2 linked regions of the Notamacropus eugenii genome follow. The protein of the gene in region 1 binds, or shares a complex with, the protein of each later gene. Links are inferred from orthologs where the notes say so. Each region holds a gene or a part of one and is shown in the gene's direction. Other genes may lie near its edges.

The links.
Region 2: IQCD (region 1) and EFCAB2 share a complex: the UniProt entries of both Homo sapiens proteins name them as parts of the nexin-dynein regulatory complex. The link is inferred for Notamacropus eugenii from reciprocal best matches to the Homo sapiens genes DRC10 and DRC8.

The regions. Positions count from the first base shown.
Region 1 is NC_092875.1:32,967,663-32,971,407, forward strand, and holds the start of IQCD (dynein regulatory complex protein 10), read left to right. Parts: upstream 1-1,061; 5' UTR 1,062-1,724; exon of another isoform or gene 1,725-3,051; intron 3,052-3,745. UniProt on the Homo sapiens protein: Component of the nexin-dynein regulatory complex (N-DRC), a key regulator of ciliary/flagellar motility which maintains the alignment and integrity of the distal axoneme and regulates microtubule sliding in motile axonemes.
Region 2 is NC_092873.1:406,150,033-406,153,777, forward strand, and holds the start of EFCAB2 (dynein regulatory complex protein 8), read left to right. Parts: upstream 1-1,625; 5' UTR 1,626-1,828; coding exon 1,829-1,853; intron 1,854-3,745. UniProt on the Homo sapiens protein: Component of the nexin-dynein regulatory complex (N-DRC), a key regulator of ciliary/flagellar motility which maintains the alignment and integrity of the distal axoneme and regulates microtubule sliding in motile axonemes.

The DNA.
Region 1 (3,745 bases):
TCTGTCCACTCCCATATATGGGGGGGTTCGGTCAGCTGCCCGGGGGGGGGGGGGGGGGGGGGGGCGGGGGGGTGGGGGGTGGAGATACACTGGTGTGTTAGACCAGGTGAGCCCCTGAACAGATACAGGGAGAGGAAACTCAGCTTCGAAGTTAATTCCAAACATCACGGCTACTTTAAACCTCCCAAAGGCTCCCAAGTGGACACAAGGAGAGGGTGTGACTTCTCTCCAGAGCAAGGGGTAGATTTGGGAGCCACCTCCCCCCAAAAATGCTAAGGGCGTTGTGTTTGTGTCCTGGATAAGTGGAGGAGAGAGAGAACACCGGAAAGAAAAGGAGAAGTGGGGTGGGATGAAGGGAGAAGCAAAGAGAAAGGAAGCAACAACAGGAGAAAGAGAGCTGTGCTTGGAACCAAAGGTCCTGGGTTCGAATTCTTCCCGTTCTGCTTAGAAGCTGGGTGACCCTAGAGAAACCACTTCATTTCCTTCCCTTCGGCCTCAGTTTCCCCATCTGGATGATGGATGGGGGTCAATGGACTGAGGACCCTTCCTGCTCTAGATTACTTCTCCCTCCCCGTGCCTCAGTTTCCCCAAATGTAAAATGGACTAGATCTCTACGGTCCCTTCCATCTCCAGCTCCAGGATCCCGAGAAGAGAAGAAGGGACGGAGGAAGGGACTCAGCCCGTTTGGCCTCCCCTTTACACGGGTGCATCGCCCCCCCTCCCTGTGCCCTTCGACCTCCGACCCCCGACCTCTCCCTGGGTCCTTACAGGAGACACCCCCGCGAGCAGCGATCGCGAATCGGGTTCCGAGCCAAACCTTCTGCGAGACGCCGCTCCGAGAGTCGCGGGCCGGTGGCACGACCCGAACTCGCCGCCCCGGAGAAGGGGAACGCCGCAGCCGCCGGCGAGCCCGTTTCCATCCGCCCGCTATTCCACCTCCCCCCACCCAGCCCGGTCCCGACCCCGTCGTAGCCCCGCCCCCTTTCCCGGAGGCCTATCGCCTGCACGAGCGGACACCGCAGCTCTCCGATTGGTCGGATGGGACGCCCTTCCCTTTTCTCCGCCCACTTGACTCTCCTCCTCTTCCCTTTCCTTCCGTTCTCCGGGGCACGAAATGAGCCTCCGCCCCCTTCCCAGTCTGCGGTGCTCTGATTGGGCTTTTCTCTTTTTCCCGCCCTCTGCATCTTGGAGGAGGAAAGGATGCCTAAAGCTAAAAAAATTACAGTTTCGTTCGGCTCCCCTTTGTGGGGTAGCCTATCCTTTGATTGGCTCTGAGAAACGTCCTTCTACTTTCCCCGCCCCTTGCAGCCTCAAGGGGTGGCTTCCCCTCGTTTTTTCATTAGTTCTTCCGGAGGCCTTGTGGGGGTTCTTATTGGAAGTTCCTTGCTCTTTTCCCCGCCTCCAGCATGCAAGTCTCCTCCCCTTCTCCTCCTCTCCCTCTCTTCGCAGCCTAAGGTGCATCCGTCTCGGCTCTTTCTATTGGTTGTCGGGAGTCGGGGTCTCGGAGTCATCGAACTCACGGTGCTTCCGATTGGCTGGAGCCTGTGGGGTAAAGGGTCGTGGCCAAATGGAAAATGCCGGACGTTGAGTGGCGACTGCTAATTCCCGCCCCGGATGTGGTTGGTCTGGTTGAGTTGTTTACCCGTAGCCTAGCAACGTGGCCACTCTGGAAACTGAGGAAGGAGTAATTGAAGGGAAGGGAAGCCCCGCGGCTGCGCGGGCGGGTAAGTGGGGTCGTGGCGGAGAGGACGAGGTAACGGAGAAGATGAAGTGGACAGGGGTGGAACTTTCGTGCGACTAAAGGTCACGTAGTCCATGCCCCTGCCTCCGGGCAGGAACATTTGCCCAGCCCCTCCCCCACCGGGTGCCTTTCTTATGGCAAGGATCCCCCGAGGCCATCTAATCCAACTGCCCAATATTACTGAGGACGAAACTGAGACCGAAGCAGACAGAGCCAGGATGTGAATCCAGGATCATATAGGAATGTATGAGCTATAAGGGATCTCAGAGGCCATCTAGCCCAATTCCATTATACAGATGGGGAAACTGAGGCACAAAGAGGTCCAGGCTCACAGGGCCAGTTAAAGGGCAAAACAGGGACTGATCTCGGAATCTCCTGGATCCCAGCCCCACGAATATGCTCTGACCATCCATTGAATTTGATTTTGATTTGAGAGCTTTGCAAGTATGCCAACTCCAACTCCACCTACTGGATCTTGCTCCCAGTCTGTCCATAAGTAAATATTTTTTAAGTACTTACTATGTGCCAAGCTAGATGGTTCAGTGTATAGATCACTGGACCTGGAGTCAGGAAGACTTGAGTTCAAATCTGGCCTCAGATACTTACTAACTATGTGACCCTGGACAAGTCACTTCACCTCTGTTTCCTTTAATCCACTGGAGAAGGATACGGTGACACTTCTCCAGTATCTTTGCCAAGAAAATCTCATCAACAGTACAATCCATGAGGTCGTGAAGAGTTGACACAACTGAATGACTGAACAAGAACAATGTGCCAAGCTAGGGATTATGAAATCCCTAGAAACAGAGTCCCTGTTCTCAAGGAGCTTGTGGTTTAATAGGGGAGACAGGACGCAAACAACCATGTCCAGATCATATGTATACAGGATAAATTAGAAATCATTAACCAATGCAAGGTTCTAGAATTAAGGGGTATCAAGAAGTATGTCTGAGGAAGAATGAGGAGCTTGATGAGAGGAAACAAGAGACAAATGAGGTTGGAATGGAAAGAGCCTTGATTTGAATGTCAGCAAACCCTGGCCGGACACTAATGAAATATGATCCTGGGCAAGGCATTTGAGTTTTGGTAGGCCTCCAATTTCATCCTCTCTACAATAATGGTATTAGACTAGATGATCTCAAAGATCCTTTGAGCTGTGAACTTGGAACAAGCTCTGAGGTCAGAATTGCAGAGTCATGAAACCAGAGGGTCCATCATTGAACAAAAATCCTCTCTACCCAGACCTAACAAGGGGTCATCCAGCCTTTGCTTCAAGACCTCTAATGAAGGGATGCCCACGATCTCCTGAGGTAGCCCATTACATTTTAGGAGACCTTTAGAAAAGTTTTTCCTGATCTTGAACCAAAATCTCTTTTCAGCTTGCATCCATTTCTTCTAGTTCTGTCCTCTAGGGATGAACAAAAACAAATTTAGTAACTCTTCAGATAACTGAAAACTGCTATCATGTCATTACATTCCACCTCCACCCCCTGCCCCAGTAATGTCTTATTTAGGCTAAATACTCCCAGTCTCTATATAGAACAACCTCTGAGCCTTTTACCATCCAGGTTGTCGTTCTCTGAACACTCTCGTTCACATGTGTTCATATTCAGTCATGCCCTACTCTCTATGACCACATTTGGGGTTTTCTTAGCAGGAATACCAGGGTGGTTTGCCATTTCCTTCTCCAGCTCGTTTTACAGATGAGGAAACTGAGGCAAGCATGCTTAAGTGACTTGCCCAAGCTCACACAGCTAGTAAGTGTCCTAGGTTTGAACTCAGGAAGATGAATCTTCCTGACTGTAGACCCAGCATTCTATCTGCTGTATCACCTAGCTGCCCCTGAACACTTTACAACTTATGAATGTCTATCTTAAAATTTGGTGCTAAGAACTCAATACATCTGATCTGACTGGAGCAAATGAAAAAGAGATTATCCCCTCCTTATTCCTTGAAGTCAAACTTCTCTTGATACAACCTGAAATCAAATCAGCTTTTCTGCCT
Region 2 (3,745 bases), on another chromosome or scaffold:
ACCACAAAAAATTCTCCAGTAGTTGCAGGAGGACTTGTAACTAGGACTTGTCCCCTAGACAATTTGCTCCACTAGGAAGGATTTCATTGATCTTCCATGCAACCTCAAATGTGGTGGACAATGTGAAAATTTTCAAGTTTATTCCTCTTTATGTCCATCTGTAAACTATGGCTACTAGTCCAGGAAAAGTTTCTCCAGGGAGAGGGAAAACTGACCTCCTTGGTAGATCTAGTTACTGCTAAACTGGATTTTGGCCTTTGATGCCACTGATTCTAACAAGGGAGAATCTGTAGGATAGACCTTTTCCTATGTAAATATTATCAACAAGTAGTAAGCCTAGGAGGGAAACTGAATTTGTCAATTATTCTGAATCTATATTGGCAGTGTGTGATGGGGAACTTATATTACTGGACTGAAATGACAAAACAGGCACAGTTTGACATGTGAAACTTACCTGCGTCATCTTTAATCACCGAAGTAACAAAAAAAAATCTGAATTTAAGTTTTTGAGAACACCATGCAGTCCTAGGACTTCCTCCCAACACGGGTTGGTTAGTTTCAGGTTCAATGACAAATTGGCCTAGCGAGCTCTGGGCCTGCAGATACTTATTGTGCAGAAATCCTTCCAAGAAAAATACGATTTAGTATGTCAATAAGAAAAAATGCAGCCAACTTATTTTACTGCGCGACCTCCGGCTCGTGCAATTCACCAAGGGGCCACCCTTTGTTTAGTACGAACAATACAATCAGGGCAGTGTGAATTTATTTTTCACTTGAAATTGTAAAAAAAATCAAATGGATCGAGCACAGCATTTCAATAGCCTTTAAAAAGAAACCCTGCGTACCGAGCTTTGGAACCACGTTTCAAGATTAGAGGCATTTTAAGTGGCAAATGTCGGAGAAAAAAAAGCTTGAAGTTTTCTCAGCAACTGCAGCAGGAGAACGTGACGGAGAATTTAAAAAAGCCCCATCGCCTGGCCCTATGGAAGGCTGCGCATGGCACTCCGGGCGCGCTGTTGCCAGGAGAACCCTGGGTTCTGCCTCCCGGCTGGTGCCTGACGCCGCAGCCCCGACAACGCCGCCGCCAGGGTTTAGCGGGAGCCTGGGCTACAGCCGGCGCTGCTCGGCCTCGAGGCCCATTTCGTCCCGCTCCGGGCCCAGGGGTGCTTTGAAGGCCCCCGCCACCCCGGCTATTCGGGGAAGGGAGCATGGGTGGGGATGGATGGTGGCGGGGAGGGCCTGCTGGCGGCCGCTGCTTCGCTCGGGCCCGGGAGGGAGGGGCCGCCCCCGCGCGCGCCCCACGTGGGCCGCTCGCCTCCGGTTGGGGGGAAGGGCGGCCCCAGGCTCGATCCCACCGCGCCTCCTGCACGTTTCCAGCCGCCCCCCCTTTTTTTTTAAATCTGGCAATAAAAACGCAGCCGTTCCCAGGGAGCACGAGGGAGGGAGGAAACGAGCGGGAGAATAGGAGGAGGGAGGTCCCCCCTGTGGAGGGCGGGAAGAGAGCGCTTTGGCGGCAATTGTCTAACAACACTCCAGGTTCTGGGGCTCTAGGGCGGGGCCCACGTTTTTATGGCGGGGGCGCCGAGTTCCCAAGGAGGGGTCTTTTGCGTGGGGGGGGGGTTGTCCACGTCTTCCACGGCCCTGCCTCCCCATTCCTTTACGGCTAGGACTTGCCTTCTGGAAGTCGGCGCAGGGCCGCGGCGGGGCTGGGCATGGTGTTTCTCTCCCTTCCCTCCCCTCCCCTTCCCCTTCAGATCCAGGCAGTTCTTCTTTCCCGCCGCCGCCCAGCGCCACCTGGCATCTCCAGGGCGACCGGGCCGGCAACAAGATGGCGGACGATAGAGACAGCGGAGGTAGGAAACCGCCTATGGAAGGGAAGGGCCGGGCCTGGCTTGCTGAGCGTTGCCAGAGGCCTTGGAGGAAGCACCCCTAGAGGATACCCCTGCCTATACCCCTTTGGACGTGCCACCCGCTGAGGGGAATGGGTGCCGTGCACGGGGGAGGGGGGGAGAAGGCGGTGACCTTGGCCCCGCCCAGCGCGGGAGTAGGGGAGGGAGGGATACGTCGGCTCTCCTCCCCCTCTCCTTTTTCTCATCCTCCCCCGCTTCTTTTATCTCCCCTCCCCCAGGCCAGGCGCGGTGCCCGAGAGCTACGCCTCGGCGCCTCCCGCCGCCCCCTCCTCCTCTTCCGGGAAACTGTAGCGAGCGCCCCCGCCCGGGGCTCGGGGACAAAAAGATGGTGTCCCGGTGGTTGTATTAGGGATGGAGGTGGCTGCGTCCGCCCACTAGGGCCGGCGGGGTTCCTCCTGGATCCTCTTTCCTCCTCCCATCGCCCCCACGCGGCCGCGCCGGGCCTCCCTTGTCTCTCTGCCTGACGACCGTTGGCGGCACCATTTTGCTTCCCGCGGCGCGGGGAGGCGAGGGCGGGAGGAAGAGGCTGCAGCGGTTCCCTCCCCCTTCTGCACCATGAAGCGCCTCTCCCCGGCCCTGGCTTGTGCGTAGGAAGAAAGAGCCAGGCCGGAGACAGTTATTTATTCATTTTGGGGGGAGAAAAAAAAAAAACACCCCACACCACCTCTCACCGCGATCATGACCAAGGAAGTGCGTTCGGGAAGCCTGGCCATGAAGTGGGACCGCCCGCCCGAGAGGCTGCCTTTCCGGGGCGCTCCTTGCAAGCAGGCCCGAGGATGCTGGCGCGCCTCGGGCCCAGCAGGCCCGCCTCCCTCTCCCCCTCCCCCACCTCGGCCCGGGCTGAGCTCGCTGCGTGCGGCCCCCATCTGCAGCCGCGTGCAAGCGGACATGTTCTCTTCTCAAGCCCCGGGGGGTTCCCCACACAATAAAAATAAAGGCCTCAGTCTGAGGAGCTGAGGCTCCCTGGAGAAGAAGGCGAGGCCAGCCCGGGGCCCGCGGGCCTCAGACGGGAGGGGAGCCGCCCCGCGGGGCTGCAGAGACCCCCTGAAACCGGCAGTCACCACGTTCCCGTACGTTAAAGCAACCACAACAAAAACCGCGACTTCCTCAGCCAGAATCTGACCAACCTGGACCCCTCCCCCACATTCTCCTGCATCAACTTGAATTTTTCCAGTTTATTGTGTCAGTATTTTGTTTTTACATCACTGTTTGCTCGTTGTTTCTCCGTTTAAACGCTGAGTTCCTTGGGAGCAGGGACTGGTTTTTGCCTTTTTGTCCCCAAGGCTTATTAGACACAATGCCTGGCACATAGTAGGCCTTAGGAAGTCCCTGTGGAGTACTAAAAGCCTAGTCTTAGGTTACTAAGCCCCTCCTCGTGTATTTTCAATATGACTGTTGACAGGGATAAATAATATGCCCTGATTCTGCTTCAGACCAAGCTTCAGGAGCAGGGAACCTTCTTTTGCCTGTCTGTGTCCCCAGCCATACCTGCCATATAGAGCAGGTATTTATAAATGCATGTTGACCGTTTGGAACCTGGTATTGCGGTTCCAACATCACTTCCGGTATAGCGTAAATACTGCTCTAGTTCTGCGGAGGTTGAGAAATGCTTTGCGCTCAGAAAAGTCCTGGCAAAGCAACTGGACCTTAGAAAGGGAAAGCCTATGGCCCCTGTCTGTGGACTGCAGGCGGGCTGTGGAGAACCGAACCTGAGCCAGGTGTCTGTACGTTGTACGGCCTGCAGGGCCACAGAGCGCCGGCTGAGACACAAATTCGTAGCAGGGTTCGGCGTTGAGGTAGGCTGCAGCCTCGAGGAGTTTACGTTCTTTTTTTTG